Macaca fascicularis: one gene and its partner. The protein of the gene in region 1 purifies or fractionates together with the protein of each later gene. This does not show direct contact. Links are inferred from orthologs where the notes say so. Each region holds a gene or a part of one and is shown in the gene's direction. Other genes may lie near its edges. The genes, in order: TSR1 and RPS3.

What was found.
Region 2: the proteins of TSR1 (region 1) and RPS3 purify together in Homo sapiens (co-immunoprecipitation; 4 studies listed by BioGRID and IntAct, with this or other methods). This does not show direct contact. The link is inferred for Macaca fascicularis from reciprocal best matches to the Homo sapiens genes TSR1 and RPS3.

What each region holds. Positions count from the first base shown.
Region 1 is NC_088390.1:2,454,470-2,458,377, reverse strand, and holds the start of TSR1 (pre-rRNA-processing protein TSR1 homolog), read left to right. Parts: upstream 1-1,015; 5' UTR 1,016-1,043; coding exon 1,044-1,140; intron 1,141-1,334; coding exon 1,335-1,438; intron 1,439-1,743; coding exon 1,744-1,963; intron 1,964-2,075; coding exon 2,076-2,210; intron 2,211-2,573; coding exon 2,574-2,998; intron 2,999-3,749; coding exon 3,750-3,908. UniProt on the Homo sapiens protein: Required during maturation of the 40S ribosomal subunit in the nucleolus.
Region 2 is NC_088388.1:74,281,225-74,285,132, forward strand, and holds the start of RPS3 (small ribosomal subunit protein uS3), read left to right. Parts: upstream 1-1,368; 5' UTR 1,369-1,398; coding exon 1,399-1,428; intron 1,429-2,291; exon of another isoform or gene 2,292-2,439; intron 2,440-2,591; coding exon 2,592-2,722; intron 2,723-3,539; coding exon 3,540-3,633; intron 3,634-3,908. UniProt on the Homo sapiens protein: Component of the small ribosomal subunit. The ribosome is a large ribonucleoprotein complex responsible for the synthesis of proteins in the cell. Has endonuclease activity and plays a role in repair of damaged DNA.

The sequences.
Region 1 (3,908 bases):
CCGGCCCCTTCCCACAGCCGGAGGGGGGTTGCGCACAGCGACGGGGGATCGGGGCGGGGAGAGGCCGTGCGCGCCTAGGGGCGGCAGACCCGGGCGCGCGCCACAGGGGTCGCTGTCATGGAAACGCACCCGCTCCCGCTGGAGGGCGCGAAGCCGCATTGTGAGCGCCGGCCCTGGGGCCCGCGGCCCGGCGGCTGAGAGCGAGCCTCGGTCCCGCTCAATGTCCCCTGACTTCTCCCTGCTCCCTCTCCCGACGGGACGGAAAGGGCCGGGGCTCGGGCACGGAATCCCCTGCGGTCCGAGCCTGGCCACGGCGAAGCCGGTGCAGCCTGGCCCCGTGACCCCTCTGAATCCCCGTCCGGCCGTCGCCAAGTTTCTGGGAAGATTAGTGGGAGCGCAGCCGCCGGAGCCCGAGGGCCGGAGGGTCGCAGCCAGTCCCCCTCGCCGGGTCGCCACGTCCCACAGGGTCCTTCCCTGCCGCTCCGTGGGAGGCGGGGCGCGGGTTGGAGTAACAGGGACGGGCGTGAGCTGGTAAGGAACCGGGCAAGGTGAGAGAAGTGTCTTCCACGCGATTCCCAAGCCTCGCTAGGGAATTGAGGGAGAAGAAAGGTTGCTCAGAGTGATAAAGAACACGCCATTGCAAATGGAAGAGCAACATGCCCGAATCTAGGTGACAGGAAGGGCTTAGGCCTTTTCGGCACGAATGGAGCCTTCCAGTCAACATGTTTCTATGTGATGCAGTTTTATGGCGCAAAAAAAATGACAATGCAAGGGGCACAAACAGCCCTGCTGGACCAATAGCCCAAGCCTCGAGAGTCTACATCGGGCGCCTTCAAGCCTCCAAACCACACACTACAGCGTGGGAAAACTTCCCATCGTGGCTTGGCAGAGCGACTAACGCGGCGCGCTTTGGGGTGGCTGGAAAAGACCGTCGCGGGAGGGCGCAGGGAGTCCCGCCCCACTGAGAGCCCGCCCCCTTGGAGGGGACAGGAAGCGTTCGTCCTGGCCCGGAAGCAGTGTTGACTGTACACGCGCGCTGCGGCATGGCGGCTCACCGCCCCGGTCCGCTCAAGCAGCAGAATAAAGCTCATAAAGGCGGGCGGCATCGGGGTCGGGGATCTGCACAGCGGGACGGCAAGGGTAAGAAGATAGCGTAGAAGGAATAAGGGCTATTTGGCCATTATTAACTCTTTTTCCCCATGCCCAGACTGAGCTTTCTGTCTCCCGTCTGGGCTCCACGCGAAAGGCCCTTTCTAAGGTGGGCGGAGAGGAGTCCCTTTTCTTGACCTTGTTATGGGGTCGATCACACCAGCCCCTTCTAATATGCCCTTCAGGCCGTCTAGCACTGAAAACCCTAAGCAAGAAGGTGAGAAAAGAACTCAGCAGAGTCGACCAGAGGCATCGCGCCAGCCAGCTCCGAAAGCAGAAGAAGGAGGCGGTGAGAGGAGCGGGATTTGGGAGAGTGCGGCTTCTCTGCTGTTCTAGGTGGCTATTGCCTGGAACTGGAAAATGAGACCGGGTGGGGGTCCAGGGATAGAGCATAGCCCTAGAGCACGTGTCGAGCCTGCAGGTCTAGCATTTTTTGCTTTCGTCAGAATTCCTGCCACCCCGCCGACATACCTGTGGTCTGCTACCAGAGAGATGCTGGTTGTGGGTAGAGGGGGCATCTGTGGGAATGGAAATTCAATGCTGGCGTGAAGTACTGACACGCTGAGATGTTCTCGGATATCTTTCTATTTTCAGGTTCTGGCAGAGAAGAGACAGCTGGGTGGCAAGGATGGCCCTCCTCATCAGGTACTGGTGGTGCCCCTGCACAGCAGAATTTCCCTGCCAGAGGCCATGCAGCTGCTTCAGGATAGGGACACTGGAACAGTACACTTGAATGAATTGGGAAACACCCAGAGCTTTATGCTGCTATGCCCCCGCTTGAAACATCGGTGGTTTTTCACGTCAGCAAGGCCAGGTTAGAGTATACACCAATATTTTCTATTATGTTTGAGTAGTGGTAATTTTTTTTTTTTTAGTATAATATGCTGGTGCCAGCCACCTCTTCTTACTGTGTCTTCTGTCTCCAGGGGATCTGCACACTGTGTTAGACATGGCTAAAGTAGCTGATACCATCCTGTTCCTTCTTGATCCACTAGAAGGCTGGGACAGCACCGGCGATTACTGTCTTTCCTGCCTCTTTGCTCAGGGCCTTCCCACCTATAGTAAGTGAGTTAACATTTATTGTGCACCTATAATGTGTCAGGCACTATGCCTGGCATTTTATATAGAAGTACAACTGACGGATCATATTCAACTGATGGTGGGATGTATACATATGGATTAAACTTGATCCATTGTTTACAGATTATCACTCAGTGTGTCTTTTTGTTTTTGGCTCTCCTTTGCCCAGAGAAACAAGGATATGAAGTTTGATTTCACTGTGAAATTCCTTCAGGGTAGTTAAGTGTTGGGTTTCCCAGTGATCTCTGGGCTTGCAACTGAGCTATTAGGTTGTTTGTGAACTGCGGAGGGATTTTTATGTAATGAAGCAATAGGTCATGAAGCATTTTCTCTTTTGCTTACAGCACTAGCTGTCCAGGGGATTTCTGGCCTCCCACTGAAGAAACAAATAGATGCCAGGAAGAAGCTAAGTAAAGCAGTGGAGAAGCGCTTTCTGCATGACAAATTCCTCTTGTTAGACACTCAACAGGAGGCAGGGATGCTGCTTAGGCAGTTGGCTAACCAGAAGCAACAGCATCTTGCGTTTCGAGATCGGCGGGCCTACCTGTTTGCCCATGCTGTTGATTTTGTTCCTAGTGAAGAGAATAACTTGGTGGGCACCTTGAAAATTTCAGGCTATGTTCGAGGGCAGACTGTGAATGTCAATAGGTTGCTGCATATCGTTGGACATGGCGATTTCCAGATGAAACAGATAGATGCCCCTGGAGACCCTTTCCCTTTAAATCCTAGAAGAATTAAACCCCAGAAGGACCCAGACATGGCAATGGAGGTAAGACTGATATTCTTAAATCATGTTCATGTGAAAGTTGGCACAGGAAGGAAACTTAAATTCGGAGAAGGTAGTCTGTTCACTTAGGTGAATGAGGAGACTGCTAGTCTGAAGTAAGGCAATAGTCAGTTATAAATATGTTGATAAATCACATTTATCCAGCACTTTCTGGGTACTCTGCACTGCAACTGGCTCTGAGTTTATAGAACACACTCAAGACGTGGTTGCTTTCCTCAAGGGACTTAATTGGGCTGGAACAAAATGGCGTCTGTGAAATAAAGATTGAGATAGCATATGGTTAAGGTGTGGATCAGCAGTGGAAGTTGAGAAAGTAGACTAGCAAGCTTCACAGAAGAGATCAGACTTGAGCAAGGTGTTGAGAAGGATGAATGTGATTTATGAGTTGAAGAAGGATAAAGGAATATTCTAGAAGATAGAGACAGAATGAACCTAGGCACAGTGGTGGATCAAAGGGTTTATTTGAACCTTGAAAAATCAGCTTGATAGCAGTGAGGTATGTAATAAATGGGTAGGAGTGGGAGCAGATTAAGAAAGACCTCAAGAGCCAAGCAGAGACTTAAAATACCCTGGAAATTAGAAAATGGCCATTTGAAAAGTTTTGACAAGTTTTAGCATTCTGTTGCATTCATCTTCTACATGAGGACTGATATTTCTGGGTCTTTCTGGTTACTATATTAGATTTAGGAGATTTTTGGTTCATGGTTGGCTATCACCTGCTTTTGGTTTTCAGATTTGTGCTACGGATACTGTAGATGATATGGAAGAAGGCCTTAAGGTCCTAATGAGGGCAGACCCTGATAGACAGGAATCCTTGCAAGCAGAGGTTATCCCAGATCCAATGGAGGGAGAGCAAACCTGGCCCACTGAGGAGGAGCTGAGTGAGGCAAAG
Region 2 (3,908 bases), on another chromosome or scaffold:
CACCTGTAATCCCAGCTACTCAGGAGGCCAAGGCAGAAGAATCGCTTGAACCTGGGAGGTGGAGGTTGCAGGGAGCTGAGATCGTACTACTGCGCTCCAGCTTGGGCAACGGGAGAGAAAAGAAAGAAAGGAGAGAAAGAGAGAGAAGGAGGGAAGGAGGGAAGGAAGGAGGGAAGGAAGGAAGGAAGGAAGGAAGGAAGGAAGGAAGGAAGGAAGGAAGGAAGAGAGGGAGGGCGGGCGGGCACACGAGCCACTCTCTGGGACTTCTGTTACAAATTGTAATGGACTTGATGAAAGTAAGGTGGAGTAAATGAAAACAACATAAAGGGCACAGAACACAGTCCCTAGGACACTTAGTAAATATCAGGTTTTATTATCATTTGGAATGGAGGAAATGGGCACAGACTGGGGGACATTCTTTTTTTTTTTTTTTTTTTTTGAGACAGAGCCTCACTCTGTCGCCCAGGCTAGAGTGCAGTGGTGGGATCTCCGCCCACTGCAACCTCCACCTCCCGGGTCCAAGCAATCCTCCCACCTCAGCCTCCTGAGTAGCTGGGATTACAGGTGCCTGCCACCACGCCCAGCTACTTTTTCTATTTTTAGTAGAGACGGGGTTTCACCATGTTCGCCAGGCTAGTCTTTAACTCCTGACCTCAAGTAATCCGCCCGCCTTGGCCTCCCAAAGAGGAGTCTTAAATGAATTTCACTGAGGGATTTCAGCAGATTTTCATTACAATGTCCACCCTGAAACTGTAGGGGCCAGAGTTCCACGCTGGTTAAACTCTGTTGCTGTGTGAACTTATACCTGTAATTTCCACCTCTGCACCTCGCATTGCTTGTTTTTAAACTATGAGAATTGAACTCGCGGCCGGGCGCGGTGGCTCAAGCCTGTAATCCCAGCACTTTGGGAGGCCGAGACAAGCGGATCACGAGGTCGGGAAATCGAGACCATCCTGGCTAACACGGTGAAACCCTGTCTCTATTAAAAAATACAAAAAACTAGCCGGGTGAGGTGGCGGGCGCCTGTAGTCCCAGCTACTCCGAAGGCTGAGGCAGGAGAATGGCGTGAACCCGGGAGGCGGAGCTTGCAGTGAGCTGAGATCCGGCCACTGCACTCCAGCCTGGGCGACAGAGCAAGACTCCGTCTCAAAAAAAAAAAAAAAAAGCGAATTGAACTCTAAGATCCTCTGAAGTCTAGCAGTCCTGCTGGTCGAACCCCCTTTGCTGTTCCTGCCTACACTCTTCCTTCCCTTGACGCCTTCTTTACGTAAAAACTACATTTCCCATGAGCACCCATAGGCGTCCACGTAGCGCAGCCCTGCGTCGTCGCTTGCGCCCTTTATACTCACTTCCGCCCGCCCGCCACTTCTTTTTCTTTCGGCGGAGCGCGGCGGCAAGATGGCCGTGCAAATTTCCAAGAAGAGGAAGGTGAGCCTCTGGGGACTGGGTTCGGGGAACGACTGCGCCGCGAGGGTCAGGGGCTTCTCGGGTGCCACCGCGAGGCCTGCAGCTCCGTGCCCTGCCCTGGGAAGCGGCTTAGGCCTCCTGGCATTCCCACGGGCCGCGGATGGCGGTGGATTGAGTGAGAGGCCCGAGCCAGGCGGGCGCTGTGTGGCCGGGTAAGGGAGAGACAGGTTTTTCTCTGGTTCCGAGTGAAGCGCAGAGAGATGGGGACCAGGCGCCCCTTCTGTCCCGGAGAAGGCGTTTGTGAGCATTTTTTGGTCAATGGAATTAGTAAACGTGGCATTTTGAGGGCGTGTGTCATTTCCCTCATGTCTTATCCCATGGTTTTGGGAAGGGGAGGCAGCAGTGTATACTTGTCTTCTTACTGGTCGAGTCTGGGTACAGTCTGCTGGTCCCACGACCTCAACATGAAGGGTTACTGACGATTGCTTGCTCCGTCTGAGGACCCCGGGAGGAAGCTGCCTCGGATTTAACGCTTTGTTATTCCATGGGAAAGAACTGTGTAAAAATCATTAGCTTTAAAAATAGACAGTTTGTCATTTCGTATACCTACACTTCGATGTTAAAATTAAATCCACAACTCTTGTGAGTTAGGATTTTCCAGCTCTGTTTACAGTTAAAACCACAGGTACCGTAAGGCCAGATAACATGGCTGGGATTCTTTAGACGGTCCAGGTTGTGTCTGCAAGTGAGAGAGCGTATGTTAAGTCCACTATCTATTCTGTTCCTTCACAGTGACAAGTACAGTGTCTTTGCTGTGCTGAGTGAAGTGTAAATAGGCTATTTTAGAGCAGTTTCTTGTTTTGCATGTGGAACTGTTTTAAACCCTTCGATGAAGAGATGATGACGAGTCTGACTTGGGGGTGTTGCCTTCGCCCAGGTTGCCTACTCTGTGCTGCATTCTGTGGCACAGTTTAAAGGGCCCTGGTTGAAGTAACTTCCTAAAGATGACCTAGAGGCATTTGTCTGAGAAGGGTTGCTGCACTCCTGTTGGAACAAGGGTTTGGAACCATTGGTTGGAGGTATTTAGTTTTGGGGAGGGATGCATTGACTAATAAGACACTGGCTCAGGCGAAAGTGAGCCTACACCGATGTCCTAATTTTGAACTTCGCTTTTTTTGGATTAGTTTGTCGCTGATGGCATCTTCAAAGCTGAACTGAATGAGTTTCTTACTCGGGAGCTGGCTGAAGATGGCTACTCTGGAGTTGAGGTGCGAGTTACACCAACCAGGACAGAAATCATTATCTTAGCCACCAGGTAAAACTCACTTGACTGGCCATCACCTATAATTGTTGTAAATGCTAAGTTGGTTTATTCCTTTTTTTTTTTTTTTTGTGAGACAGAGTCTTGCTCTGTCCCCAAGGCTGGAGTGCAGTGGTGAGATCTCTGCTCACTGCAAGCTCCGCCTCCCAGCTTCCTGCCATTCTCCTGCCTCAGCCTCCTGAGTAGCTGGGACTACAGGGGCCAACCACCATGCCCGGCTAATTTTTTGTATTTTTAGTAGAGAAAGGGTTTCACCCTGTCAGCCAGGATGGTCTCGATTTCCTGACCTCGTGATCCGCCCACCTCGGCCTCCTGAAGTGCTGGGATTACAGACGTGAGCCACCGCGCCTGGCTGGTTTGTCCTTTGTGAACTTAAGGGGATAGACAGCCAGTGAGTCTGGGCTTAGTGAATGTAATTGCTTCTTAAAAGCTGGATTTTAAGGCCAGGCATAGGATCGCTTGAGCTCAGGAGTTCAAGACCAGCCTGGGCAACATGCGGAAACCCCCTCTCTAAAAAAGATAAGGGTGTGGTGGTGCATACCTGTGGTCCCAGCTATTCCAGAGGCTGAAGCAGGCGATGGCTTGAGCCCAAGAGGTCCAGGCTGCAGTGAGCCATTGGTGTGATCCAGCCTGGGTGACAGAGAGAGACCCTGTCTCAAAAAAAGCTGCATTTTGAAAATTTAACTTTAGTTTTTGTCAATGAAAATTATATGCTTTGTGGCAGAGATTTTGCTACCACATATATATGCAAGATTTAAAGTTAAATCTAGCATTTGTGAGAGTCATGAATTGTCACTTTTTCCCCGCCCAGAACACAGAATGTTCTTGGTGAGAAGGGCCGGCGGATTCGGGAACTGACTGCTGTAGTTCAGAAGAGGTTTGGCTTTCCAGAGGGCAGTGTAGAGGTGAGTGATTCTGGCGTATGCCAGAGATAATGGCTCTTCAGAATGATAACTTCTAAAAACTGGGAGACTTTGTTCATTACAAATGGACTGATACAACTTTGTTGAAATTCTCTTAATGAATAATGGGCTTAACTTTGTAAGCCTGTTCTGCTAATGGCTGATAGTTAAAGGATTTTACATTCAACTTGGGTATAGAAATGATGCATATGATGGATTGACTATCCCCATTGGTGTACTTGGTATGGCCAAAGGAGCCAGGGTGGGAGGGCAAGGAA